Medicago truncatula: one gene and its partners. The protein of the gene in region 1 binds, or shares a complex with, the protein of each later gene. Links are inferred from orthologs where the notes say so. Each region holds a gene or a part of one and is shown in the gene's direction. Other genes may lie near its edges. The genes, in order: protein PLASTID TRANSCRIPTIONALLY ACTIVE 14; protein PLASTID TRANSCRIPTIONALLY ACTIVE 12, chloroplastic; thioredoxin-like fold domain-containing protein MRL7 homolog, chloroplastic; protein PLASTID TRANSCRIPTIONALLY ACTIVE 7.

The links.
Region 2: protein PLASTID TRANSCRIPTIONALLY ACTIVE 14 (region 1) and protein PLASTID TRANSCRIPTIONALLY ACTIVE 12, chloroplastic share a complex: the UniProt entries of both Arabidopsis thaliana proteins name them as parts of the transcriptionally active chromosome (TAC) complex. The link is inferred for Medicago truncatula from reciprocal best matches to the Arabidopsis thaliana genes PTAC14 and PTAC12.
Region 3: protein PLASTID TRANSCRIPTIONALLY ACTIVE 14 (region 1) and thioredoxin-like fold domain-containing protein MRL7 homolog, chloroplastic share a complex: the UniProt entries of both Arabidopsis thaliana proteins name them as parts of the transcriptionally active chromosome (TAC) complex. The link is inferred for Medicago truncatula from reciprocal best matches to the Arabidopsis thaliana genes PTAC14 and MRL7.
Region 4: protein PLASTID TRANSCRIPTIONALLY ACTIVE 14 (region 1) and protein PLASTID TRANSCRIPTIONALLY ACTIVE 7 share a complex: the UniProt entries of both Arabidopsis thaliana proteins name them as parts of the transcriptionally active chromosome (TAC) complex. The link is inferred for Medicago truncatula from reciprocal best matches to the Arabidopsis thaliana genes PTAC14 and PTAC7.

The regions. Positions count from the first base shown.
Region 1 is NC_053043.1:15,106,428-15,113,535, forward strand, and holds the start of protein PLASTID TRANSCRIPTIONALLY ACTIVE 14, read left to right. Parts: upstream 1-4,097; 5' UTR 4,098-4,179; coding exon 4,180-4,230; intron 4,231-4,331; coding exon 4,332-4,481; intron 4,482-5,466; coding exon 5,467-5,604; intron 5,605-5,789; coding exon 5,790-5,915; intron 5,916-6,098; coding exon 6,099-6,227; intron 6,228-6,386; coding exon 6,387-6,476; intron 6,477-6,570; coding exon 6,571-6,721; intron 6,722-6,882; coding exon 6,883-6,992; intron 6,993-7,108. Other genes in the region: protein FAR-RED IMPAIRED RESPONSE 1, read right to left, coding at 587-619, 705-797, 917-1,009, 1,173-1,265, 1,346-3,489, 3,625-3,625. UniProt on the Arabidopsis thaliana protein: Essential for chloroplast development, especially for thylakoid formation. Involved in plastid gene expression, probably by maintaining plastid-encoded RNA polymerase (PEP) activity.
Region 2 is NC_053043.1:5,999,527-6,006,384, reverse strand, and holds the start of protein PLASTID TRANSCRIPTIONALLY ACTIVE 12, chloroplastic, read left to right. Parts: upstream 1-3,858; 5' UTR 3,859-3,990; coding exon 3,991-4,044; intron 4,045-4,862; coding exon 4,863-5,561; intron 5,562-5,697; coding exon 5,698-5,810; intron 5,811-6,113; coding exon 6,114-6,373; intron 6,374-6,858. Other genes in the region: BTB/POZ domain-containing protein At5g03250, read right to left, coding at 434-1,645, 2,458-2,527, 2,763-2,821. UniProt on the Arabidopsis thaliana protein: Involved in plastid gene expression. Acidic transcriptional coactivator necessary for the transactivation of many PIFs target genes (class B genes), particularly during the regulation of hypocotyl growth.
Region 3 is NC_053049.1:39,794,126-39,801,151, forward strand, and holds thioredoxin-like fold domain-containing protein MRL7 homolog, chloroplastic, read left to right. Parts: upstream 1-4,012; 5' UTR 4,013-4,391; coding exon 4,392-5,149; intron 5,150-5,893; coding exon 5,894-5,978; intron 5,979-6,229; coding exon 6,230-6,341; intron 6,342-6,481; coding exon 6,482-6,585; 3' UTR 6,586-6,691; downstream 6,692-7,026. Other genes in the region: probable acyl-activating enzyme 18, peroxisomal, read left to right, coding at 163-288, 660-761, 1,011-1,217, 1,361-1,474. UniProt on the Arabidopsis thaliana protein: Plays an essential role in early steps of chloroplast development. Involved in the regulation of plastid gene expression. May positively regulate plastid-encoded RNA polymerase (PEP) activity through binding to FSD3 and CITRX/TRXZ.
Region 4 is NC_053044.1:45,255,938-45,263,417, forward strand, and holds protein PLASTID TRANSCRIPTIONALLY ACTIVE 7, read left to right. Parts: upstream 1-4,479; 5' UTR 4,480-4,583; coding exon 4,584-4,628; intron 4,629-4,705; coding exon 4,706-4,762; intron 4,763-4,845; coding exon 4,846-4,905; intron 4,906-6,387; coding exon 6,388-6,723; 3' UTR 6,724-6,953; downstream 6,954-7,480. UniProt on the Arabidopsis thaliana protein: Essential for chloroplast development, especially for thylakoid formation. Involved in plastid gene expression, probably by maintaining plastid-encoded RNA polymerase (PEP) activity.

The DNA.
Region 1 (7,108 bases):
AAAAGTCCATCTAACATCAATTTGTGTACTTCAAGTTTTAATATTCTTTAGTATTTCTTTTGGCATCAATAACATGATATTCCTTCCAAATAAAAGCTATAGATTTTTTTTAATCGGCAAATTATTCTCGTCGAGATTGTGTAAGGAACACGAAAATCTCGCGGATAAAATCAAACAAGAAGTAACGAGTACACATGAACACTAATACAACCACCTACCAAAACCACCCATAACAAAGCTAAAAACAGAAGCTTTATATTCCAAATTTGGTTGCTGCTAAAGGGTAAAAAACACTGAAGCAGCAACAAAACTGAACCAAAAAAAAAGCACACAACTAGCACTAAACAACCCATTCCATCTAACAATAATGCTTGACCAAAACAGCCGCACACTTGCTTGAGCAAAACAACAAACACTAAACAGCAGAACAGCATATTCCAACACAATTTCAAGCAGCCGCACACTTGCTTGAGCAAAACAGCAAACACTAAACAGCAGAACAACAATCACTAAACAACAATCCTGCAGACCCTCATGCCTTGATTGCAGAAAAACCAGACAGCAGTTCAAACCAAAAACAACAGTGTTATGGTTTTGTGACCCGAGAGTAATAAGGAGCCTGCAAAGAATATATAATTAACCACTTATGTTCATTATAAAAATGTCAAATAAAAACAAGACAACACCAAAATCTATATTTGCACCTTGTTTACTTGACCAAAATGTTCTTGATTTGGATTGAAGGAAGCTACAGTATTCACACTACCATTTTCACTGCTACAAACATAGTTATGCTCCTGTCATAGATATTAACATGCAAAAACATAGATAAATAGTATGCAATATCATATTGAATATTTCAAATAACAAAAGGCCAATCATTTTTAATTAAATGAAAGTAAGAAATCAGGTTTACTTGAATATTGTCTTGTGTCCCAGTCCCATCAAAAATTTGATACCTAAGAAACTCTTCATTTGTAGTATTTTGAACTACATGCAATCTTAGTCCCTGTCATAAAAAAAACTATAATTAGACACACCCACATGTACACACACACACTACTGTGTTCAACTGCATAAATAGTACCATTCAACCATTTAGAACTATGTTCACACTAAAATATTTACATAGAAATATTTACACTAAAATATTTAGTATATGCTTTGTTTACTTGAATGCTCTCTTGTGTGCCAATTCTATCACCAAGTTGAGATATGTAAAACACTTCGTCTTCAATTTCTTGACCTCTAGATGTACATTGGCCCTGCCATAAAAATTATTAAATTAGACATCTCAACTATTATACCTATAATATAAACAACTTGCTATAAATTTCATACTCACCTCTTCTTGAACTTGAATATTTTTACTACTTTGGTTTCTTTTTTTAGTTTTCTTTTGTGCAAGCTTCTTCTTTACAATCTGATCAACTATAGAAGTCTTCCTTTTTGAAGGAGGACGCCCTTTACTTCGAGCTAGTTTAGGATCAAGAATGGTAGCTTGATTTTGAGTTGAACAATCTTCTTCTACAATTCTAGGAGATGTTTCATTACATGGTAACTCAATTTTCATGTTTTGAATCAATTTCATCACTTTCACTAAATCATCGTCACTATTTATCCTCGTTGAAGCAAACTCATAAAAGGCATCACAAGCTTTACCCACGCGTTGCAATTCAGTTTTTCCAGCCAAATTATCAAAACCACATTTAATAAGTGTATACCTCCGCTTTATATCCTTCCTCCACCGTGCCAAAATATAATTAGATGGCACGAAATCTGTTTTCCCTATGAGCTTAAGCACGCAAAGGATGTGCCTACATAAAATGCCTTTAAATTCAAACAAGCAGCAGGTGCATTTTAACACAAAGTCTTTTTCATTGAAGAACACCATCAACACAATATCTTTCATCGTGTCATATACTTTCTTACTTTCTGTAACATAAAATATTGAATCCAAACCCTCCAATCTGTTGAAACATGCATGACAGTACATCATAGAAGCTATTTCCAATTGGAATTCCTGAAACTTTGCATTGGTAAATGCTTTTTGGAATTGGAACTCAAAGCCAAAGTGACTAATACAAGAAATAACTGTATTAAAAGAACGAAAGTCAGCAATGTTTTCCTTTTCAATTTTGTCTTTCAATGCATTATCATATTGCTCAACAAATTGCTTCAATGTTGTCTTTGAGCTTACATATCCATCAAAAAACGAGTTCATACTTTCACTTCGTTGTGTAGTTGACATTCCAGCCCAAAATGTGTCCCTTACATATGCAGGGACCCAACGATGTCGCTCAACAAATAACCCTTTCAACCATTCGTTATCCTGTAGTTTGTAACACTCAATCATATTTTCCCACCTCGTCATAAAATCACTTTTGGTAAAAGAATCATATACAATATCATGCAAAAGTGTTTTGATAGACTCGTAGTCAGAGTGACTACCAAACTTTTCTGGAATCTTTTTCATTAAATGCCATAAGCACCACCGATGACGAGCTTTCGGAAAGACAATCTCAATTGCATTCTTCATTGCTCTGTCTTGATCAGTGATTATGGCATTTGGAGAACTTCCATGCATACATTCCAACCATGTCTTAAATAACCAAGTAAAAGTTTCAGTATCCTCATTTGATAACAGAGCACAACCCAACAACATAGACTGACCGTGATGATTTACTCCAACAAAAGGAGCAAAAGGCATGTCATATTTATTTGTTAAGTAAGTGGTGTCGAAAGTTATGACTTCACCAAAATATTCATATGCAACCCTACATCTTGCATCTGCCCAAAACACATTTTGTAACCGACTTTCATCATCCACATCCATCACATAATAAAATTGACTGTTTTGCTTTTGCATCCTCACAAAATAATTTTGTATTGCTTCAGCATCTCCTGTCCCAAGTCGTAGTCGTCTTACTTTGTCTATGTAGTTTCTGCAGTCTTTTTCTCCAAATGTGAGATTTTCATACCCATCTGCTTCAACAACAAAGGATCGGAAATTTCTACTTACATTAATCCCAGCTTGGTCATTGAGTTCTAACCTCCTCTTCATTTGTGCCCCTATATTCTTGTTCGATCTAAAATACCTTGCTTTCCCTGGACTTAGATCATGATTATGCTCAAAAAAAACACTTTTAATTTTAGTTGTTCCGTCTAAAGAAATACACGCATTCAATCTAGCCTTACACTGCGTTTGAGTTATAGGATTTGGCTCTAACATATTCTTTGGGCGACTCACATACTTTCTAGCTCGACTACATGCTAAAGTAAAATACATTTTCCCCTCATCTCCTTTTTTTGAACTTATTTTTTTAACTCCAAAACCCACCCGTTCAGCATAATTCTTGTAATACTCAGTAATTTCCTTTTCAGATCCGAATGACATCCCATCACAAGGTGTTTCTTCTTCACAAGTACCATTTGCTTCTAAACAATCATTAGTTTCCAATTCATCACAAGACTCAAATCCTTTTTGCACTAACACAACAAATTAGAAGAAGAAAAAAAACCTATATTAATTGACTAACACAGTAAAGTAAATGAAAAATCAATCAATCGGCACAAAATTCCTTCTAATAATCTATAAAAACAACAAATACACAAAATACTTACTTGTAGGTAAATTAAAACTGAAATACTCTGCTTTAGTGCTATGAATCAATGGAAGCTATGATGGTAAGCAAAAACAGAGTTACATGAGAATGAATATGAGACCTGATTCAAAGAGACAAGAGCGTGAAAAAGAGAACGACGACCTTATATCACAACAATTGAGATTGAATGTCAATCAGATTCTTTGATTAGCGGAAAAGATGAGATAATTGCTGCGGGAGTGGTGAACGTGGGTTCTTTTCTGTATGTTTTTGTTTTGGTGAACGGTGGGTTTCACTTTCATTTCTATTAAAGGATTTTATTATTTATTTAATTTAATATTGTTTGTTTTTGACAAAGAAACAGCAGCGCGTAGCACTAACAGGTTTTCACGCGTCCGTAATATTCCGTATTCAAAATTTTCGTACGATATATCATTTTCCAATTAAATATTAAGGACCAAAATAACATTTAAGCCTTTTTAAAAAAAAAAAAAAACACGTGACATCACTCTAGAAGGAACATAAAATGCTGGATAACGTTGTCTTTACCATTTTCCACTCTTGAGTTCACTCAATGGCTTCTTCTTTTCCACTTTATCAAACAAGTTTCTTCTCAAAAACCCAGGTTCAGTTTACTTCACTTCATTTCCCTTTCCATTTTTACATCTTTTTCTTCTCTCAAATCTCAAATAACTTTTAACTAATACTTGTTTACTTTCTAAACAGTTCAAAGGTTTGCGCCATGGTTATTTGTGGCGACCCACTTACTCTTTTGGTTCTTGTGCTGAAAACAAAGTACAACCTGTTAAAGCTTCTGTCGAAACTGCCCCATTTCCCTTGTTTCAGCCTCCTAAAGATGAAGAAACAGCTTCTCAGGTAAAAACCCATTTTGCACCTTGTTTGTTTATTTATAGGTTGAAAGTAACAACTAGGACTAAGGAATGTTAAATTAGTTTATATATGCAAAAGAATGTTACCTTTTTTGGGTGCATATGAGACCTTTTTGTTGGTGGGCATAAAGGGAGTGTTTTAGTAGTCTTACCCTTAAGCCGGCCCTGGAATGTGTTAAAACAACAGCTCGGTTTAAGAAAATAAAGATACGAAAAATGCAAAAATGGAACATGATGTTTGGTAACAAAGTTCGGTCAATTGTGCCTATGTCTACATAAAGAAGAGCGGCTGCGATTCCTTTCTGTGAGTTTAGAGTATACAACTTGTACTCAAAGACTACGGTCCAGATTATAATGTTACCCCAGTTGCTCTTGTTTCGCTCGAGCAACCTATTCACTTATCATTAACTATGAGTTATGCCCAACAGGTTGATTGAGTTGAGTGAGTGAATGTTGTTTCCAAGGTTTTGAATAAAGGTTCTTAATTGATATTGCAACTGCAATGTGAAAGTTTTAGAGACCTTTGTTACTGCATTTGCGGCCCCATCAATGATATTTGTCTATGAAGGACTGAAACATGACATTATACAGATATCGACATGTAGACACCTATAATTTTAGACGATGAAAGTGATTGTATATAAACACACATGTCAATGTCGTGTCAGTGTCGGACACTCGGACATGCCTTAAATTTAAAGTCTCACTGCTACATGATTGCTCAGAGTTTTCTGCAATTTCAAAGATTGCAACAAAACGTTGACTGTGATTGCAATTTAAAATGTTGGATGGTTCAATAATTTGATGTGCTTTTGTGTGTATAATAGAGTAAAGTTAATTTTGAGATGCAGTATCTTCATTCCTATAAGGCCAGTTTTTGGATGAATTCTTTAAAGGGTCGTCTGTTTTTATGAAATTGGGATATTGAGTTGTGATATTGTTTCTTTGTGTTAATTTATTTGTTCCTGTAGTTGGAGCCTGTAGATCCTGATTTCTACAAGATAGGATTCGTCAGAAGTATGCGAGCTTATGGAGTTGATTTTATGGAAGGGCCAAATGGTTTCGGTGTATATGCTTCTAAAGATGTCGAACCTCTTCGCCGACCAAGGGTGAGTAGCCTCATACAAATCCTATGTAAGACTGGTGGCAGTGCATCATAATGAAAATAACGGCACATATAATCAACTCCTAATTTGTATTTTACATGTTAGTTTAATTATTTGTATGATGTTCTTCATGATTATATTCTGAGTAGTTGTCCAAGGCTGTTTTCCCTAACGATGAACTTGGGCAGGTTATAATGGAAATTCCTCTTGAATTGATGCTAACCATAAGCAAGAAACTACCATGGATGTTTTTCCCTGATATAATTCCCCTTGGTCATCCAATATTTGATATTATCAACTCAACAAATCCAGAGGTAATTGCAATTCTCCTCTGAAGTCATTAGTTCAAAATATGATATAATTGATTTCTTGATTGTTTTCATGGTAAAATATATTTAACCAATTTGTATTGTAACTGTTGTATATACTCAAAAAAATCAAAACCGTTAGTTTTTCTAGTTATCTGCTTAAAGTAATTGTGTAAATCTTTGTGGCAGACAGATTGGGATTTACGATTAGCATGCCTTCTCTTGTTTTCATTTGACTGCAAAGACAACTTTTGGCAGTATTACGGTGACTTCTTACCCAGTGAAGATGAAAGTACTAGCTTACTTCTAGCTACAGAGGTGCATAAAAAATAGATTTTCTTTATCATTAAACCATTGGTTGATATTTAGCCAGCATCAGATGTATCTTGTAATTTTAAGATTTGAATAGCTACATTTGGAACATACCACAGTTTTAGAGTTCACTTTACGACATCTCATGTTGATTTGTATATCTAGGAGGAACTTTTGGAGCTGCAGGATCCCGATCTTGCTTCTACAATGAGAGTTCAGCAACAACGAGTGTTAGAATTCTGGGAGAAGAACTGGGTAGAGAGAAAATTGTCCTTGTTGAAATTTTTAGTCTTCTATGATGCATATCAATTAGTTTTTGTTCTCAACAAATGGTGTTACTCTTGTTCAGCATAGTGGTGTGCCGCTCAAAGTAAAACGTCTTGCTCGTGATCCTCAAAGATTCATGTGGGCAGTAGGAATTGCACAGTCACGCTGTATCAACATGCAAATGAGAATGTGTGCACTAACTCAACAAGCGAATATGCTGATTCCTTATGCTGGTAAGCTTTGTTCACATCAAATGGTCTAACCAACTATTGTATCATTTTCTACTCATGCATAGTAGCGGTTCTTGTTTATTTCACATTTGATGTAAAGTTTTTCTTTCCTTTTTGATAAAACAACAACAGAGGTAACTGATTAACTTAGTCTTGCTTTTCAGATATGCTGAACCATTCGTTTGAGCCAAATTGTTTTTTCCATTGGCGTTTTAAGGACAGGATGCTTGAGGTTCTTATAAATGCTGGACAACGGATAAGAAAGGGAGATGAGGTAAATCACTTTATACTTCTTTGAAGTATGCTTTTCGTGATTCCTTTCTTATATTAAACGTTACTGAGTGCAGATTTTGTTTTTATTCTTATAATATTGTTTGGCCTAAACTAGAT
Region 2 (6,858 bases), about 9.1 Mb from region 1:
AAATAGACCTTGTTAGTTTATTCTGCTACCTCTTTTTCTTGTTATAACCATGTTTTGTGATTTTTACATATATTAAACAAAGTAGTAGTATATTTAATATGTCGATTTTGTGTATAGATGTTTCCAAAATATCATCTTGTATATGACATCTTCAACTCTTATTTCTCATCTCTCAACACTTAGTAGCAGTAATTAGAATTTTGAGGAAAGAAAATGTACATAGAAATTTAATCTATGATTTTTATTTAGGGACAATTTTTTTACTCATTAATTCATCAACATTGAAATCATCACAAATCTCACTATTTCCTCCACAATCTTAGTTCTTCATAAATTTTCTACTATGCCAAAACATCTTACAATCTTGAAGCATAGAAAAGGAGTGCATATGAAAAATGGAATTGGCAAAGGAAGGTATACAAGATGATCTAACCTTAAGGTATACATCTATTGCGTGGTATATACCGTCGTCAAGGGGTCTGGCATAATCAGGAATTGCAACAGCAAGTGCCTGAAATTTAGACAGGTTTAGATTAGCATCTGAAGCGACTTCGGCAAGATATCCATCTACCAAGTTAGCGACCATTGTCATCGGTGTCAACGTATCAACCCCAGCAATTAATGTTCCAATTTCAGTTATACATGGAGAAGCAGATAAAGATGCAGGCTGGTAGATAGACATAAAATGGTCCAGAATCCTCTGAATACAATCTATATCATAAAGCGTCTCGACCGAGTATCCCATATTTGGAATGAGAAGATCCACAAGTGAAGCCTGATCTAGTTGAGCTCCTACCCTTTTCTCTAAATTCTCTTTGCATGATGGACTTGCACGTAATATCATTGCGGTTCGGAGCAACCGAAGGAGATGCTTAGAGGATGTGACACCTCTCTTATTAGGAATCAACTCCACAATTTCTTCTAGTAAACCCCTTTGATCAGCTTCAGAAGTTGTAGGGATTGTTGCATGATTTGTATCTTTGAAACTTGATTGTCTATTCATCAAGGGAAGAAACCGCCTAAGGTAATATATAAGAGATGCAGCAATAGTCTCCGATTTCATTCCTTTTGATTCAATAGCCAAAATCAATCTTTTATATAATGGTAGGCTCAACAAAGACACATCATAAAACCACCAATTATCACCAACAGACTGTGGTTTACTCTCACAAGACATTCCATTCAACAACTCATGTTCCTCTTGATTTTTCGCGTCATTACGGCCTGTCACTTGCCAATTGAACAAATCTGGATCCGAACAAGCCTTCATAGCCAAGGAATCAATGCATCTAGAAAAAATATGGAGATCTTCTGCAAAGTTTTGCACTTCCTCGCATGTCTCGAGCGCTTTGATGGAGTCTGGCCAATTGCTGAAAACTTCATTTAGAAAAGATTCTGTGTAACCAATAAGATTGTCTGCACCATAGTTTTCAGTCATTTGGAGATGCTCTGCTGCACATCTTAGACTAACTACATTCAATGCTGTGATTTCTAATTTCACACCATAGCAAAATTTTGTTATGAGCTCAAATGTTTTGGCTCCACCAGGAACATCATGAAGTTGCAAAATACTACTTGATCCATCCTCACTTGTGGACTCTGCAATTAGTTTCTTTAGTAGTCCACTTCTAGAAAGTAATGGAAACTGCATCAAAATCACAAATGTTGAAAAAAACTAATCACCAACATGAATTATATACTTTAATTTAACATGCTGCATAGACCAACAAAGACAAAAATTTAATTATAAATAATAGAAATTTTGAAAAACACTCTCTAACACACATTTCACTGTATTTTTGTACTTTTGTTGCAATTTGAACGAGTCTCGATATATTAAAAATCGCGTCCACTGATTCATTGGGTCTCACACAAAATTTGATGATGTACATAATATTAATATTGAATATGGCTCATACATAGACACATAGGAGGGGCAAGGGGCGGGGGAGTTGAGCTAGCGTAGCTCCCTCCGATATGGTTCATGGGTATTGTTGTAATATGAACCGTAGTACTATATATATGGCTTGTAACACTGTAAACACTAATTCACTCAAGTAATATACGAAATTACAGTCGCAGAGGTAGGCACAATTGGCCGAACCGACAAACGACCACATTCCATTGTTTCCAATTTTAAGTTTTCTTTAATCATTTGTTACTAGTTATTAACTCTAATTCACTCAAGTAATATACAAATTTAGTCACAAAGGTAGGCACAATTGGTCGAACTACATAAACAAACGATCATGTTCAATTGTTTCCGATTTAAGTTTTCTTTAATAATTAGTTACTAATTGTTGTTCTAATAATTAACTTAAGGATAATATTGAAATAAATTAACTAATGTTACATTAAGAACAATATTTCACTTATTTTAGGGTGGTATGAGGTACTATGTGAGTGGATTTATAAGAAAAAGTGTGCAATAAGTTTTAAAGTTAAATAAAAAAGTACCTTGTGGAGGAGAAAAGAAATTTCGCCAACTTCAATAGTAACATCACTTGGAAGTCCTGTTGTACAAACCCTTAAATTAAAAAACAAGATAAGATCATGGTCAATTATCCAATAAGTAAGGGAATTTGTAGATACAATTGAGAAACCTATTCTCACTATCCAAAAAAATCAAATGAAATTTAAGGTTCTATTTTGAGATAGGGAACATTAACAAAAACAACAACAAAATTACACACATTGTTAATGTCACATATTATATATAATAATATAAGGATCAATGTTGATATAGAGAAATGAGTGCTGACCATGTTTGACCTTCACGACGAAAAGCTTCAGGCTTTGATCCCAGCTTCATGGATGCCATTACATGGATTTATTTGTAATTACAGATTAATTGTTTGAAGATTGGTTGATAAAATCAAGAGACATGAAATGAGAGGAGATAAGAGAAGGAAGAGAAAGGTGGAAGTGAATGTGACCATCCTCCTCAGATTCACAGGTGGCAAGTCTAAGGCCTAATAACTGAAACAACGATAAAAACGGTTATGTGTATTTTTTTTTTTTTTTGGTCAGGTAGCCTAGTGGCTGGAGCTCACACATTTTAAATGTGGAGGAGTGGGGTGTCCGGGGTTCGAACCCCGACCCCTGCATATAAAATGCATTTGTCCCTACCAACCGAGCAGAGCTCACGGGACACGGTTATGTGTATTTAACAATCGAACTTTTATTTTTTAATTATTATATGTGTGCGAGTAAAAAATATATATTAAATGTGTCCCGTGAGCATATGGTGGCTAGATTATTTGATTTAAAAAAAATTAGAAGTGTATTTTTTATAATTTGGAATCATTTGTGCGCAATTATTGAAACTGATTCTTTCAACTTTGTGGAAATCCAAATGGAGAAAGACTCTTCCTTAAAGTTTTAATGTTGTAGCAAGATTTTTTTTTTTTTTTTAAGGAAACAAGAGCCTTCTTTTTAAATGTTAGTTTTAACGTTTTATTTTTGTTTTAAAACAATGGAATATAAGTATTAATGATAGTTTTGTGAGAAAAAATTAATGATCGTCAAGAGTATTTTATTAAAATGCACATCATCAATTAAATAATTTTTTAATTTGTGTACAAAACTTATAAACTAAAATGAAGAGATTATTTTTGTTATAAATGTTAGTAGATAGATTAATATTTTCTTCTTCAACTAGATTTAAACCCATAAAATAATTTCTTCTCTTTCATTTAAATTTGAACTATAAATATATTCAAGCAAAATTAAAAAAAAACAATCAAACATGTGAGAATGAATTTATTCAAAATCAATTTTAGTTACCTTAGAATCAAACACACTAAAATTTATTCAAACATTTAGACATTAATTAAAACATATTAAGCATTTTAAAAAAGGAAATAGAGAAAAATGGAAAATGATAAGGGAGGTAGTGTAGCAATAGAGGTAGAACAGATGAGTTGAGCGAGCTTCTGAGTTCTTCTCCCTCTCCGGACGACGTTTGAACTTCTGCAAAACGGCACCGTTATGTCTTTAATTCAAGCCAATCTTCTACCCAACTTGTCCTTCAACCATTTTCAGGTTAGCATCTTCCAAACTTTAATTATTTACCGTCTGGGTTTCTTCAATACTCTTTCTTAAACCCACTTTACATTTCATTAATTCATACCATATATATAAAAAAATCAATTTTAGAATTGAATAAACTCAAGAATTACATATTTTATCACTTATTTTCCTTTAAAGTTATATATCTTGTTTCATTATGCTTCTGTTTGCTAGAAAGAAAAAAAAAAAGACTCGTTTTTTTAACATTTTTACTAGCTAATATCTTATTTTGTTAAGTTAATTCAATTAGCTTATAGCTTATTACTTTTTCTTTCAAAGTTTTAAATATTAATTAAACATATAGTTTTTATGTCATTTCATATTTACAAGCTACTTCAACAACTAATTTGACTAAGCACTACATATTCAATCAGTTAGCTTATCCGGTATAAGTTCATCCATTATAAGTTAGCTTATCAACTATGCGCTGTTTTTTTTTTTTTTTTTTTTTTGCCAAACAGAGCCATAATGGATGGTTGATAAGTTAGCTGATAGCGGATAAGGTAGCTGATTGAATTTATAATGTTTGGTAAAGTTGGCCGCTGAACTAGCTTGTAAATATGAAATAAAAAAGAAATGTTCAATTAATATTAAGTTTTTTTTTTTTTTCAATTAAGATTACCTCGTGAGAAAATGATAGTTACCAAACAAGTCTTTTTTAGTCATACGAGCTTATAAGCTAGCAGCTACAAGTTAGCTTATCGTGCTTGCCAAACCGACCCTATGTTGTATTACTTTATAACATGTAATATGGAGCTAATTTATAGTGTAAAATGCTTGCGACCATGTAGACATCAACGTACTTGGTGGGTGTTGGCAATTTACCATGTAGAGTTGGTTTCAGAAAATCAAGAAAGAAGTTACCTTCATATAGTTGCATAAGATGTGAAAAGAATGATGAAATAAAGAAAGATGAAGAAAATAAAGATGAAGTTATTGATTATGTGACAGTTGAACGTCCACCTTATTATAGTTACATGGACTCCACCTCTGGTCAGCTTGAGCCGGCCTCGGGTGCTAGAGCAAGTATTCCTGAAGTTGAGTATTGGCCTGAAGGAACTGTTGAGCAAGTCAGGGCTGCTAGGGCGCCTACTCCGATGGGAGAATCGTTAGGTTCTCCGTCATATGGTAGTAACCCTGGTAGTAGGAGGAAGAGTTATAGAACTTCGGTTTCTGGTTCTTCCTCTGAGGGTAACGTTGAGGGGAATGTTGAATTGGATGACCCTGGTCTTCCTGAGGTTTTGGTTGAACCTCAAGAAGATTCTGAGGAGTTCACGTCCGACTATGTTGTTTATCAGTCTGAGCCTGAGGAAGAAGAGACTGAGTACAAACTTGATAAGAAATTTGGAGCTCCTCATCCATTTATTGATCCGAAAATTAAAAAGCCGATAGAAGGAACACTTACGAGTGAGGAACTGTGGTGGAATTGGAGAAAGCCGGAGAAAGAACAATGGTCCAGATGGCAAAGGAGGAGACCTGACACTGAAACGGTTAGTGTGCATTAAATTGTCTTGGAAAAGTTTTTTGATGCTGTAATTACAATGTGTGTGCTTGTGTCTGTGTATGCATTTACCGGTTTTGTGCAGTCTTACACCTTGTGTCTGAATTTCTCTATAATATTTTCAGGTTTTCCTGAAAGCCATGGCAGAAACTGGGCAAGTAAAGCTTTATGGTGAAGAACCAACATTAACAGAAACTGCTCTTTACCGAGCCAGGCGCCATCTTTATAAGGAAGAAAGGTATTGCGGACTTTTATGCTCACAACATAGTTCTGATTAGAATAGAAATGAAACTGGCGTTTTCTGTAGTGAATCTTAATGCAGAACATATAAGAAATAAGAAGTACTGCAAACAAGAAACTCAATAGAAAGGTTGAACAGTAGTTTCTTGAAGAATGAGTAAATTACTTGATGTGATTAACATCATGGATTAAGGAGAGTAACCTGATAAAGTTTACCACAATATGTCATGGGAATTTGTTATAAGGAGAGTTACCTGAAAAAATTTACTAGGAAAATGTTGAAAATTTCCAATTTTTGCAGGCTTGAGGCTGAGCAAGAGAAACTGGAAAGGATTGGTCCAATTGCGTACTATTCCGAATGGGTAAAGGCATGGAAGAGAGACACATCTCATGAAGCTATTCAGAAGCATTTCGAAGAGACTGGTGAAGATGAAACTACTCAACTAATTGAAATGTTTTCCAACCAAACTGACCGAGAGTATCGTGTAATGATGGGGACTGATGTTCGCATCCGAAGGGATCCTTTAGCAATGAGAATGAGGGAGGATCAGATAAAGCAAAGTATTGACTTTGAAATTAATATTTGTTTGTCATGTCTTTGTTTTTATTTTATTTGAGTCGTCTTGTTATCTATCCTTTTATCTTCCTTTTTATGATTCTATGATCATTCAACTGTATTTAGTATTGTTTGCCAAACAACCTCTAGATCCTACGCATAGAAGTTTAAGCAATTAGAGAAGGGCATGAGAATAAGTTGTCCATCTAAGACATACTCCTATACACATGAAAGTCTACTAGGTATGAATTGTGAGATCCCTATTGCTTAGTTGATAATCAACTTGATAGGGACTTGGATATTATGGGGTGCCCAGTGGAGTATTTAAGTGGTTTGGTTCTAAGTATTTAAGGGCGGATTTTCTAAGTATTTAGATACTTATCAATTGTAATTAGAACTGGTTGTCGGTGGCTCGGAAAGGACTACCTGCGGAGGGGCTGATTGGAATTGGCTGAGTAAAGCGTCGTAGAATGCCAGTCGCCGAGACATC
Region 3 (7,026 bases), on another chromosome or scaffold:
ATTCTGCACATGAATCATTTTCAATACTTGTTTCTGTACAAATCTTATTTTTATGCTAGCCCTATGTTCGCAAACCTTTTCTTGTAATTTTCAGTCTCTATTGCACTCTTAAACTTATTGATAGGTTTTCTGATTTATTGCTCTCTTTGACCAATACGACAGCCAGAAAATGTTCCTTGTGTTGGTGAAGTGGGTTTATTCCCTGTCTCTCTTGGAGCATCTGATAGATTGCTGAATGGCGACCATGATGAGGTTTACTTTAAGGGAATGCCCTTGTATAAAGGAAAGGTATCCACTACTTCAATTAGTATGCTTAGAATGATTTTCCCATTTTGTCATGTAATACCAACACATTTCAATACAACTACTTTGAAATATCAGTTCTTTCATTCGGGAAGGGCAACATATACTCACCATGTGTTCTGAATGCTTTTAAGGGTTGTTTTCATGTGCAACTCTTGACGTAAAAGATAGGAAAATCTTTTATTCTGAACTTTGGATAAATCAAATGTCCAAAAGTACTGTATATTAGTTGGATATATATTAAGGATTTTCAAACAATCCATTATAAATTACATAGGCTTAATTTGTAATTTTGGCTAGTCTCGTTCTGCTATTATTGCTATAACTTGTCATGTCTATCATGATATATGTATTAGCAGGTTCTTAGGAGACATGGAGATATAATCAAGAGAATGGTTGGTGGCTATATCATCGTACAGGGGAGGGCTGATGACACCATGAATCTTGGTGGAATAAAGGTGTGACTCTTTCAGGAAGAATGCATAATAAGAAAACTACTACGAATTTCAATGAATCTGAGCGTAGTCAAAATCATAATCCAGGGAGGTCAGGAGAGAAAATGGAAAAAAAGAGGAGAATTTCTGTGTATTTAATTCTTTTATTGGGCTTAATGAAGTATGTTTAACTTAACATGAACATCGCTCTTTGGCATTATATGGACTGGATAATGTTATTTACACGTAGAATTTTCTGTTGTTGATATGCAGACAAGTTCAATAGAAATTGAGCGTGTATGTGACAGGGCTGATGAGTGCATTTTGGAGACAGCTGCAGTCGGTGTTGCAACTGCAAATAGGGGCCCAGAACAGCTTGTTATATTTGTAGTTCTAAAGGAAGGATACAATTCAAATGCGGAAAATCTAAGGATGAAATTCTCTAAAGCTATTCAAAGTAACCTAAATCCTTTGTTTAAGGTCTGCCCCTTTCGTTGAATTTGAACAATTATGAATTGATTGAAGCTTATTATTTACTATTTGAAAACTGAAAACTGAACTGACTTGGGATTAACTGATGTAACTAATGCTCACAACCAACTCTTTTCATTACATTATTTCAGGTAAGCGTTGTTAAGATAGTTCCCGAGTTTCCTCGAACATCTTCCAACAAAATCCTGAGGAGGGTGATGAGGGATCAAATGAAGCATGAACTATCGGTTCAGAGCAGACTTTAGTGACCATGAATTCTCTTGCAGACAAGGACAGGCAGTCCTTTTCATGTGGATAAATAAGTGAGGGATGAACAAGACAGTCAATCATTTGATTTGGAAGCTTGGAGATTTGAACTACAATAATATAGGATAGAATAAATTTCTGCCACGTGAAGTCCTAGGCATATAAGCAAATTTATGAAAATAAGTGACACTGGTAATGTGTGTATGAATGAATTTTAAAATTGTTTACTAAGTATCATGGAGAAAAGCAAAACTAATTATAGAATTACAAGTTACAACCATTCATACAATGTTGTTATAACAATGTTTTAGAAGGGACATTTTCTGTCTGTAGTGCAGGTGAATTTTGCATTTTTTTTGGCACATGCAAATTCAATGATAACCCCAAGCTCAAGTTGTTATTAAGAAAACTAGTAGGGCCATGCTAAGTTGCTAGCATGTCAGATACGTTTTGGACACCGACACTTCTCGGACACACCTTAAACAACTGTGTCGAACATCTTTTAGTGACGTTCAAACACTTATTTGGCATATCTTGGATATGCGCTAACAAACTAGGCCGACACTTCTTCCGCTAGTTTGTACCAATTTTTAACCGATGCTTCAATGTTGCCAAAGGAAACACGCAATCATGCTGATAACATTCATAACGTAAGTTGCTCAAGTATTTTCCTTTCTTGTCACCTTATTCTTTCAAATTAAGCATCTCTTATTATATCATTCTCTTGGAGATATCTTATGCTTTTTAATACGAGAATATAAAAACTTCCAAGTTTGTGCTCGCTTTATGGAAAAATAATAATTTTTTATGATAATTAATACATGAATATGTTGCATTGTCCCTCTTCGAAGCTTTCAAAATCCACCTCTCTGCTGCTTCTAGTTTCAAATTACACAGAAATCTTTCTCATGATATAGTTTCATGTATAAAGGTTTTATGAAACCAATTCAACCAGTAGGTTTCTTTTGCCTAAGGGAGGTTGTATACTTTCAGGGATGTAAATTATTACTTGATTAACTTCAGGGATGGAAATGTATTGTTATCTTTGATGGATAAGGGTGGCAAGCCTTAGAATCAATGTGTCAAAAATTGAACCAAACATGCCGGTTGAACCGATCCGATAACTGACCAATTTGTCCGTTGGTTTTATCCTAGTTGTACTGCAGTCTACTTGAATCGCAGTTGAACCACATTTGGTTCAACCGTTTTATCTTTGCATTTTTATTTTTATTTTTAATCGATTAATTAGTGTATGTATTTGTCATCTATTTCAACTATAGTTGAACCGATTGAACCATTGGTTTGATCTCGACCTAATTTATAAAACGTTATTTCTTTAATAAACAACTTGGGGATATTTTTTATAGCAATGTGAAGAAAAGGGAACGATTCTGATAAATTTACATTCTTGATTTCATTTTACATACAGGTATTTGATTATGTTGCATTTATGCTAGAGATCACGAAAGAGGAATTAGCTGAATTAAGCTAGCAGAATATACAGTTCGCTTATTCTCCTATAAGTTACAGGTTCTTGTAAGGAAAAAAAAGATTCAAAGATTCTTAGCTTAGCTAAGTTTTTCATGTGCATAAATAAATAAGCCAGGGATGAACAAGACAATCAATCCTTGTCTCTGGAAGCTTGGAGATTATAACTACAATAATATAGGATAGAATAAATTTCTGCCAAAGTTATGAAAATAAGTGACACTAACCAGTGATGTGTGTACGAATGAAGTATAAAAATTGTTTAACAAGTATCATTGGAAAAAACAAAACTAATTGTAGAATTACAAGTTACAACCATTCACCCTAACCATGTTTTAGAAGGGACATTTTCTGTCAGTAGTGCTAGTGATTTTGCATTTTTTTTTACACTTGCATATTTAAATTCATATCTTATTTGGAGCTAGCCAATGAAAAACCTTAGCACGGTGTTATAGAAAGTGTTCAATGGGTTGGATCTCACCCTTGAGTTTTTGGATTACTCTTCTATTTGATTCTCTATATTGTTAACAAAAACTTACTCTATATTGATTATCTATATGGTTAAGAGAAACGTCAACTTGAGTTAGTTTATATTAACATTATAGAGAATCAAAGAGAAAATTGACCTAAAAGTTAGCAAGTTTTTTGACCTGATCAATAATAACCCCGACATCAATTTGTTGTTAACAAAATTATTAGGGTCATGCTAAGATGCTTGCATGTCAAATACGTTTTGAACACCAACACTTCTCATAGATGCCTTGAACACAAGTGTCAAACATTTCTTAATAATATTCCAACATTTATTAGACATATCTCAGATATACGCCAACAAACTAAGTCTACTCTTAGCCATAAACTTAGATACTTCTTTTTAACTTTATAATAAATCTTTTACTATTTAATATAAACAATAAAACGACGACTCTTATTTTATTTTTTTTATTGCAAGACTCGTAATCATAGGATTAACTAATTATTACAAAAACACGATGCATATTCTTTTCTTAGGATATTTATGTAAGAATTCAAATTGTAAGTGATTCCTCTTTACTAATTATGGAGGTGTAAGTAGCATGGCTCAAACTATTAAGTAGTAATTACCGAAATGGATTAAAAGATGTTATACATACGCGGCGATACAGAAAACTGAGTAGTATAGCATGGTTACCTTACCAAAAAGCAACGAGCTAGGAGGAAGAGGGAAAAGAAAAGTAGAACGTTCAAATAATCACAGCTACAACAAGGTATATATTTGTTCCTTCTCTTCTCTTCTCTTCTCTTCTCAGAAGCTTCTTTTCACGACTTGTTTGAAACCCCAATTATAGTAAGTAGTTAGTTTAGTGAATATTTGTGTTCCCGCGTGTTTTGAGCACCAACTGTTTGTTAAAATTACCCAACCATAGTTTTCAATTTCTATTCAACTAAATGCTGATTCTCCAAACAGCTCTTATGCCTCGAACGTTCTCACCTTTTTCTCATTCGAGATTCTTATCTTATTCCACTTTATCTACTCATCACATTGTAAAGCCTATTTCAATATCATGTTCTGTTTCAACTAACTCTAGCTCAAAACCCGAACCCGAACCTAATCATCCCACATCCAAACAAAGACCAAAAAACAAGGGGAAAATTTTCCAAAGTGGAGATGGTGTATCCATTAATAAAGATGATAGAAATTCTGAGGATGAATTTCCAACAACAATTCCAAGGAAGCCAAGGCGTGGTCGTAAAAGTGAGGCGATGAAAGTGGAAGATTTTGTACGTGACAGACTGGAAAACACGTTTGCTGCAATTCGGCAACAAAATGCGAGTGCTTTAGAGAATCATAAAGATATAATGAAGGACAGTGTTGGTGATGATTGTGAATCAAAACCAAAACGGGGCAATGATGATAGTTATGAGGAGGAGGTGGAAGAAGAGGAAGATGGTGGTGGAGAGAAGGCGGTGATTGAGGAAGAGAGTGAGAGCTGGCCATTAGATACAGATGTCGGGTGGGGAATAAGAGCTTCAGAGTATTTTGAGAAGCATCCAATTAAGAATGTTGTAGGAGATGATGGTGCTGAAATTGATTGGGAAGGGGAGACTGAGGATAATTGGGTTCAGGAGATCAATTGTTTGGAGTGGGAGAGTTTTGCTTTCCATCCAAGCCCTTTAATCGTACTTGTTTTTGAACGCTATAACAGGTACTACTAATTCCTATTCTTATATGGTTTTGATGGAGTTAAAAATGGTAAAATTTCAGGCAATACTTCATATATAAGATATATACTTTTATGCTCACTTTTCAAAGAAAACATGCATTTGTTGGTTATATGCTTGAAGTCATGTGAACAAGTCTTGAGTGCTTCTGTCCAACTATAGACTCAGTTTAATCGGTATATAATGTCTTAAGTCTTAACGTGCTTTCATGAAATTGATTCTTCTCTATAAAAAATCCAAATTTTCAAAATATTGTGTTGACTATGATTTACTTACCTTTTGCTTTTAAGATGTCAGTTGTTCCCAAAAGATGATTGTAATTTATTCGTAGGTACTGTAATTTATAAGGCAAAAAACCAATAGGTTGAATGTAGGAATAAATAAAAAAGTGTATTAGAAATTAATTTATGTAACAATTGTGTTAGTTATATGTATTTTTTATTTTAAAATTTGAGTGTATGTAAATGCTCACATTAATATAATGTTATGTTGATAGATTTAATAATTCCTAGGTACCTATGTTGGAATTAAAATGTGAATGATTAGTCTCACATTAGTTAGGATTGGACTAAATAAATGATATATAAAAAGGTGACTTTGTATACTCAATGCTTTTTGAGTGAATATGTCATGTTCTAGTCAGCTTGCTGTTGCTCCTGATGCTTCTAGACTCCCCAACAACTTATAGCTTAATCCAGCCTTTGGTGTTTGATTTTGCTATTCCACAGGGCAAATGATAACTGGAAAAATTTGAAAGAGTTGGAGAAAGCAATAAAGGTGTACTGGAGTGCTAAAGATCGCTTACCTCCCAGGGTATGGTCAATTTCTTTTCAGTGTACTAAAACTGCATTTTTCATCTATTACATTACCTGAAATGAAAAAATTGATGACTGCTTTTCATCACTATAAACCTTACTTCATGATCACTCACTAGTCACTAGTTAGATTTATCTTTTCCTTTATTTATCAGTACACAAGTGTTATAAGCGGTAACCTCACCATATAACACCTGGAGTCTCTTATGTTTTCCATAATCACGTATTACTTTAAATTTCCTATTGTAGGCAATTAAGATTGACATTAACATCGAGAAAGACTTGGCTTATGCCCTGAAAGTTCGAGAATGTCCTCAAATTTTGTTTCTACGAGGGAATAAGATGGTGTACAGGGAGAAAGGTGAGATTGTTGTTCATTCTCTTCACCTTCAATGTGTAACAGAAGCATAGTTTTTGTTTGGTTTTGGCATCAAGGCATGCACTCTCTTCCTGTCTATGTTCTATCCTCATAATGATGCACTGTTGCTTATGTCTTTGCAGAACTCAGAACTGCGGATGAGCTGGTTCAGATGATTGCATTTTTCTATTACAATGCAAAGAAGCCTGCATGGGTTGATGATAAGGCCTTGTATTTACGTCATTAATTGTTTTTTCAATGTCACATGGTCCTTGTAGCACTGCAATTCTATATTACAATAATGATGAAATATATGAAATTAAATATATAAAACTATTCCAACCTAAAAAAAATCTTGTTGACCAGCCTCCATTCTCAATTGATCATCTAAAACGAGTATGGTAGTGATTTGTTGCCATGCCTGTCTGTGTGATGGATCAAAATTTGAAAATGCATGTGGTAGGAAAATCGAATATGAAATCTTTTCCTTGAGATTTGTCTGGCTGTAAAGTAATACAGTTTTCATTATCTTAAACCATCATAAACTTTTTAAAATCTTTTTGTTTTTGTCCATGTTAAAAAAATCAAAATAAATTCAGATACAACCAAATGCACATTCATTGAAGAACACAAGTTTAATGTAATAATCGCCATTCGTTGGCGAATCCAAAGGGAGAGATTCTTACTT
Region 4 (7,480 bases), on another chromosome or scaffold:
ACAATTTTTTTATTGCAAATGTTGTTGTAGGTATTATCTATATTTAGGAAATTTGTTTCTTGCAACTTGGATTTCTTATATTGTGGAGTTTGTTTTGGTATGCTTATACTTATATTAATGTGCTTCTCTATTGGTTTAGAGTTATATTGTGGGAAAGTTGTCTGATTGATTTGGTAAAATTTTACAAATGGATTCTTCGTTGGTCGGTCGCTCTCTTCATCGTGGCATTTTAACATGGTTGAAAACCCTTATTTTGGTTGTTTTCCCCTATGTTGATACATCTTTTTGGTTGTTTCTCATTCTTTGATTGCTCGTCTCTCTGTTGGTTCATCTCTTTGGTTGTTGTTTCTTCTCTCGTTGCTCTTCTATTTCTTTGTCTTCTCTTTGATTATTGTTCCTTCTTTGGTTGAAATTCAATTGGTTGGTTACTCCATTATGATTGATTAATACGATTGTTACTTCTTTGGTTGTTCATCTCTCCAATGGTCATTCTCTTTGATTAGTGTCCCTTCTTTTGTTTACATTCTCTATGTTGGTTCCTCTCTTTAGCATGATTGTTTGATACGATTGTCTCTCCTTATTATGTTACTCATCGCTCTATCAGATTCTCTCTTTGGTTGGTAATTCTTCTTATATTGTTGTCTTTGTTGGGTCATATGTAATTTTGATAAGATTATTTTTCATTCTTTGGTTGTTTCTCATTTGGTTGTTCTTTTTTATGGTTATTCTCTTTGATTGTTTCTTCTTCTTCTTAGGTTGATTTATCTATCTATTGGTCCATTTTTATTTCTCTTTCTTTAGTTGTTTATTTTTTATGGTTCATCTTTTTTCTTGCCATTTCATATTTGGTTGTTCCTCTATTTGTTGCCCCTTGTTATCTCATATAAATGGACAAAATAAGTGAAACCTAATGAAGACCACATGCATCTACCACTAGCAACAAAGCAAACTAAAATCAAAACAACATTTAGTGTTAACTTGTGATTTTTATTACCAACTAATTTTTTTAATTGTTAATTGTTCAAATTACCCTTAATTTTTTATATTACAGACCCATTTATAATATTAGAGCAAAGCCTCCAATTTGATTTAGACGACACTCGACAAACTGCGTCAATCAATTGTGAATGGTAGAACCAGTCCAGAGACAGTTCACTGCATGATAATTACCCAATATTTTGTCGACCACTTTTTGGGACCATTGTGGTTGTTGGGTTGTGCTTGTATATGGGTATGATTCAAGGGGCTTGTGTATTCATGTGGTTGTTGGGAGTCTCAACATCGGTAGCTGGTTTGTATGTTGTCTTAATATTGATTGGTTGGTTGTTGGGAGCTTTGGTCTTGGTGACTTGATTGTGAGTAGTCTTGATATGAAGTGAATACGCCATCTACAACACAAAGTTTCAAGTAGTTAAAGACTCGGGTTACTGGCCCCAATATCAAGGCATCTTCATTTGCCACAATCTAACCATGAAAAAACTAAAAAGAGATCGTCCGAAGTAATTGCATTATGACTGAAAAGTGGTGATAAAACGTGGATTGTGTCGGCTGACCATACATTCTCATAAAAAAATTCTTACTCATCAATAAATGTTATTAACTTTTAACTTGTCATTTTATTATTATTTATCGGTATGCAAATTAAATATATTATCACACAAGGCAAAATAAATGTGAAATGTAATTTCTTTCAAAAAAAACACAATGCAACATTAAAACAACACTACTCAAGCAAAATTACATCAACTTAAATAAATAAACATAATATAACATAATGTCGAGATCCACCATAATCTACTCAGACTTAACATACAAATAAATTGTTCTTTCTCTACCTTCTTCGTTCAAAAACATGTCTTAAGCATCAACATCATTGTGGATAAGCTTAAATTCATGATATACAGTGCCATTGTCATTACCATCTCCCAACAATATATAAAAGGCTCCCCATAAGAAATTCGAGTCACTTTTCAAGGATCATTACAAGCTAAGTTATAAAAGTGGCTAAGTTGCCTATTCAACCCTAATAACGTTTTTCTTGGAGTTATATACATTTCAAATGGATCTCTCATATGGTCAAATTGAACCATGACGCGTAATGAACGAGACATGATATAAATGAGATTAGAGAAAGTGATATGAGTAAAGTATTAGGTTGAGTATGAAAGATTGTGATTTGTGATGAAAGGGGAGACACCTACTTATAAGAGTGTATTTTTTTTGGTACAATAAATAATATTTTAAAATTTTTAGAAGAAAAAATTATTTTTAAAACAAAAAAGAAAAAAAAAAACATGTGAATCAAATTTTAAAAAATAAATTTATTGACATTGTCATTATTCATTCGTTTTTCTTTAAAAAAAATTATTTAGTTGTTTTATTCAATAATTATTGCTTTATAAAATATTTTCATTATTAAAACAACGTATTAAATTGAAAATGTGATGGAAAATAATATTTCAATTAAAAATGTGATGGAAAATATTTAATTATTAATTTAGTAAACCTTTAATCATTAAAATAATATACTAAATTAAGGATGTGATGAAAAATATTAAAACATTTTCCATAAAATATTTTATCTATTATCAAAATATTTTTATCATTAAATTAATATATTAATAACGTTTTATTCATTAGATGATAATATATTAAATTAAATAATATTGTAATGAATAAATAACAGTATATTGATCTTTACCAAAAAATAAATATAAAAATAATATTTTAATTAATTATTTTAATAACTAAATATTATATAAAGTAATAATTATTTAATAAAACAAGTTAATAACGACAGGGATATTAAATTTATCTAACTAGACTCTGCCACGTAATTAAAGTTGATCTCAAAATTAATTTTGTAACTTTCATCAAAAAAATATTGGTTAACTTGAATTCACTTTGCTAACTTAGACCTACTTTATTATAAACATGTTTATATTTTGAAAGATACAATTATAAACATGAAACAAATCAAAATAAACACAAATGTATACAAATATGTTTCATTAATTCTTTTTGTTCATAAATAAAGTTGCTGTAAATTAGCAAATTGGATGTAAATTATATTGAAATTTACTTACATGTTTGTCTTTTAGTTATCATTAATATTTTTTCTTTTTTGGTTCAACAGTTTAAAAATCATTTTTTTTAAAGTGAATAAATGAGGTGTCTGAAGTTCGAACCCCTATCCATGCATAAATTATGCATTATCTTTACCAATTGAGATAAGCTCACGAGGATTTGTTAATTTAAACTTTTGACAAGATTTTTTTTTTATTTTTTAAGCAAAAGATGGGATGCAGAGGGGTCTCCTGCTGCAGTACCCAAAACATATATTAAACGAAAGAAAAAAGTACAAAGAACAGGGGGGACAAAAACCAAAACCCTCCAAAAAAGCAAAAGAAAACCAAAACATAAAGAAAGCCAAAAAAAACAAACTAATGAGGCGAACGGCTGGAAGCACCCACCTTGAATCCTCTGCCCGTCTCAGGTTGCTTCTTCTTGAGTTTCTTCTTTCTAGGGACCACCAATTGAAATGGTTGACTCGTATTTTCGTCCAAATCAACAATTTCATTGTTCCGAGCCATGTTAGCCCATGATTCGCTTAGAAAATTCACCGTTTGTTGGGCCTCCGTAGGAACAACTCCTAAAACTTGCATGTCATGAATAACAGATGCACTGAAGTTTGACAAGTCTGAGTTTGTCACCACAATGGAGTTACCTCCCAAAGGAATTGTATCTAATATTGCTTCCTCTTGATGATCATCTTGACATAAAATGTCAGCTGAATCAAAACTCATGTCAATATTACCCTGACCATAAAGGGGTCCCGTACCTGCTAAATCACTCAAATTCTCATTACCTTGAGCAACCATGTCTTCTGGATGCATAGAATCAACAACATTAGTACCATCCACAAATCCCAATAGAGGATTATTATCAACAACCGCTTTAGTGGCATTATTTGACAAGATATTTTTATATAAAAATGAAAAAGTGCACATTTGTTAAAATATGAGATATGATCAATTGACACCAACATGTCAAACTTAATACATGACATCGACAATAACTCTTTACCGTACAAAATTTTACATTAATTATAAACTATTCTATATGTTCATTGATACCACAAAATTATTGTCTTATGAGCTATTGAAAACCAAGTTAATTTTGATGTATTTAATTGACATATCAAATAGTTTTTGATTAATGTAAAATTTTGTAGATATGATTTATGTTATAATATATTTCAATCAAACAATCGGTCTTGCAATAAAATTATACAGTAAAGAATAATCGTTTGTGTCGTATTGTTAAATTTGACCCAATGATGTCAATTGATTCTGTCCCTATATACACCGTTGAGAGACTCTTAATGTTAGAAATTATTTTGACTAGTACACAAATACCATTTTAAAACATGAACATATTGATGAACTATTTATGACTATTCATTTCATAGGGATGGAAATTATTATTTTTCTTGGAGAAAAAAACTATTTATCCAAATATTATATAGAAAATTCCTTTATAGTTTTGAGATAAGGCGAACCAAAGTACAGTAAATACCAGCTATGGCTCTCCGCGTCAACACATTCACCCTCTCTTCGACTTTACCTGTAATTTTCATATCTTTCTTTTCAAATCTTTATATTTTTCTAAACTGTTACTTCAAAATCTTGTAATTTTCTTGCAGAAGATAGAATTAAGAGCTGGAAATTCATGGAGCCCGAGCCTGAGTGTTAACTCGCAGGTATAAATATAATAACTTTGAAAGTTGTTGAATTCTTTGTTTGCAACATGAAACTGAACTTGTTCATGCATTTGTTCTTCAAGATGGTAATCCAAATGCGAAAGGAAAGTGGTGGACGAAGAATCTGGAGGCGAAGGAAAATGGTATCTTCTGCATCCATCTTTCTTGTCTCACAATGTTTTTCTTTTTATGCTTGCCTCTTACCTGTTTGTATAAATTTCCCAAATAATAATAATAAAATAAAATGAATGAAATTAACATGAATTTCATCTATTAATAAAGAATGCATTGAAAAGATTGTGTTGTCTAACTTTCTCAGTAGTCAATAGTATTAGTGGCTAAATTGTTACAAATTTTTAATTTTAAATATATCTAGCTTGAAGGGTTAGGAAGAATTAATGTTGAGTAAATGTGTTTGTAGTTCTCTTGGGACATTAGGCTCAATGCGAAGAGGCGCTGAATTTTTCCCCGTTTCCTCATTTTCCGGAAAGGAAAGGTTTCAAACTTATAATTGTAACATTCTAAAGTTGGAAAGTTAGGGGACTAGAGGTTAAAGAGTTTGTAGTGGATGGATTTATTGGATTGCATGTTACACTTACAGAAGTAAGCTGGAATTGTGAAACAGAATTAGCGATCTGGATTATAGATTTGTGGTGTTCCAAATTAACAGCTATAACATTTGTGATGTGAGGCTGCAAGGGAATATTGGAAGGTATGTTATAGTTTTTGCTGTTCCAAGTAAATAAACATGCTACAACATTTGCGATGTAATTTGCAATGTGTTGCTGCAAGGAGGAACATAGGAAAAAAAAAAAAAAAAAGTGGTGTTTGAACTGTATGTTGTATTCTTCACAAAAGAAAAAGTATTACAAGAGTCTCTAGTGATTCATTAAAGAACACAGTAAGGGAATATGTAGCATGACAGGGAATGAGGAGGAGAAGAGCCAAGAGAGGATATATAAAAGGATCACATTTTGTAGTTCTCACATCATTTATATTTACATTTGCACCCTGTCGTTTTGCCTAAGCTTTCATGTCTTTGTTTTTGCATGATATCACCACCTTGCTGCATTCTCTTGCGGATTCTTTGCCATGCATGTGACCTTTATAGTGTTGTAGTTGCTGTTGGTGTATCAAGTGTCAGAGGATCCACCCAATGTCTTAATGTTTTGGGTTAAAATGTGGTGTCCAAGTCAATTATGTAGTTGTTCTTGGTCTAGTGTGATGATTCCCCGGACTCCCTAATGTCCCAACTGTTGTTGCTACTGAGGTGTTTGTCGATATGAACATAATGATTTGCAAAAAAGATAACTGCTTTCATGTGGTAAAGATAAACCAAATTAAATTTGATTCGTGTCTTTGCTTCTTTCTATCATGGTTGCACATCTCCCAGTATTTGGCATGTTTCTCACTCAAAATAGATACTCATTTTCCGTTGAATCTTGATGCACATAGTGAAGCTGTATGCATATCAAGATGCTTTTATTTCTTCATTTCTAACTGTATTGATTGAATGAATGCATAATGGTTATGCTGGCGAACATGATTCATGCTATTGACACAGGTTTCACGAGTATCAGGCCCGATGAACTTGAATATTTAAGCAGAAACTCATTTTGCTGCAGATAAAAAAGGATGAATCTCTTCCCTACAAAATGGAGCGCATTCCTTTTCTCGAGGAGCAGGTGAGGAAGATAAAGGATGAGGGAAAACTCTTGCAATTGGACATAGAGAGGTTACTGTTATCAGAAGATAATAAGTATGATTTTGTGAATGAGATAGCAGCCGAGGCCAATGCTTATGTTGAGAGCAACATGGATGAGTATGGAGGTGAGAAGAAAGCCATTCTTCATGTTTTGAGTAATCGGGTGAATGATGCCGGATTTTACCGTTCAGAGGCGTATGCTGAGTCTGATCCCTTCAAACCTGGGCCTCATTATTTGAAAGAGTTTTATACATAACTTTAGATAACAGTTCTTAAGCTAAGATGTTACATTAGGGATAATAACTTGTTTCTTTGATTCACTTAGCACAGTTGATGCCTTCATGTCTGTCTAAGTTAGCCGCAGTTGTTTGTATGCATGCAAATCAAAGTCATCGAGAGCACGTGGAAATCTAATTCCGTATCTTGTGCATTGGAAGAACTATTACTATTCTCAATTTCTCATAGTATTCATCCTCTCTTTTAATAGTCCTTTCTGATTTGATATTTTTCTCTCTTTTAAGAAATGAAATGAAAAATGATAGCACTACATATTAACTGTAGTAATACATAGTAATATATATTAACTGTCACAATTATATTGATATAATACTATATAATGAGAATTGTTGTTGACACATTTCATATGGCTGAGAAACACGAGTAAAGTTGTCGACACATTTCATATGGCTGAGAAATACGAGTAAAATACGTTTTTGCCCACTCGGCAGTTAACTGCCGAAGAATTTAAAAACCGGCTGCAGTTAACTGCCGAGGAAAACCTCGGTAGTTAACTGCCGAGGATCTTTTGCTACAAATCTGGCAGAAGCTCTCTCATCCATTATTCATCTTATCTTCAAAAAAAATTCTCTCACAAATCTCTATAGAAAATCCAACCAAATTTATTCAACAAAATCACAAGTAAGTAATTATAATGCTATTAACTTACATTTTAGTTGTTATAAATGTTTTTATTTGTTAGTTTTTGAGTAGATTTATTATTTTTTAATTTTTGA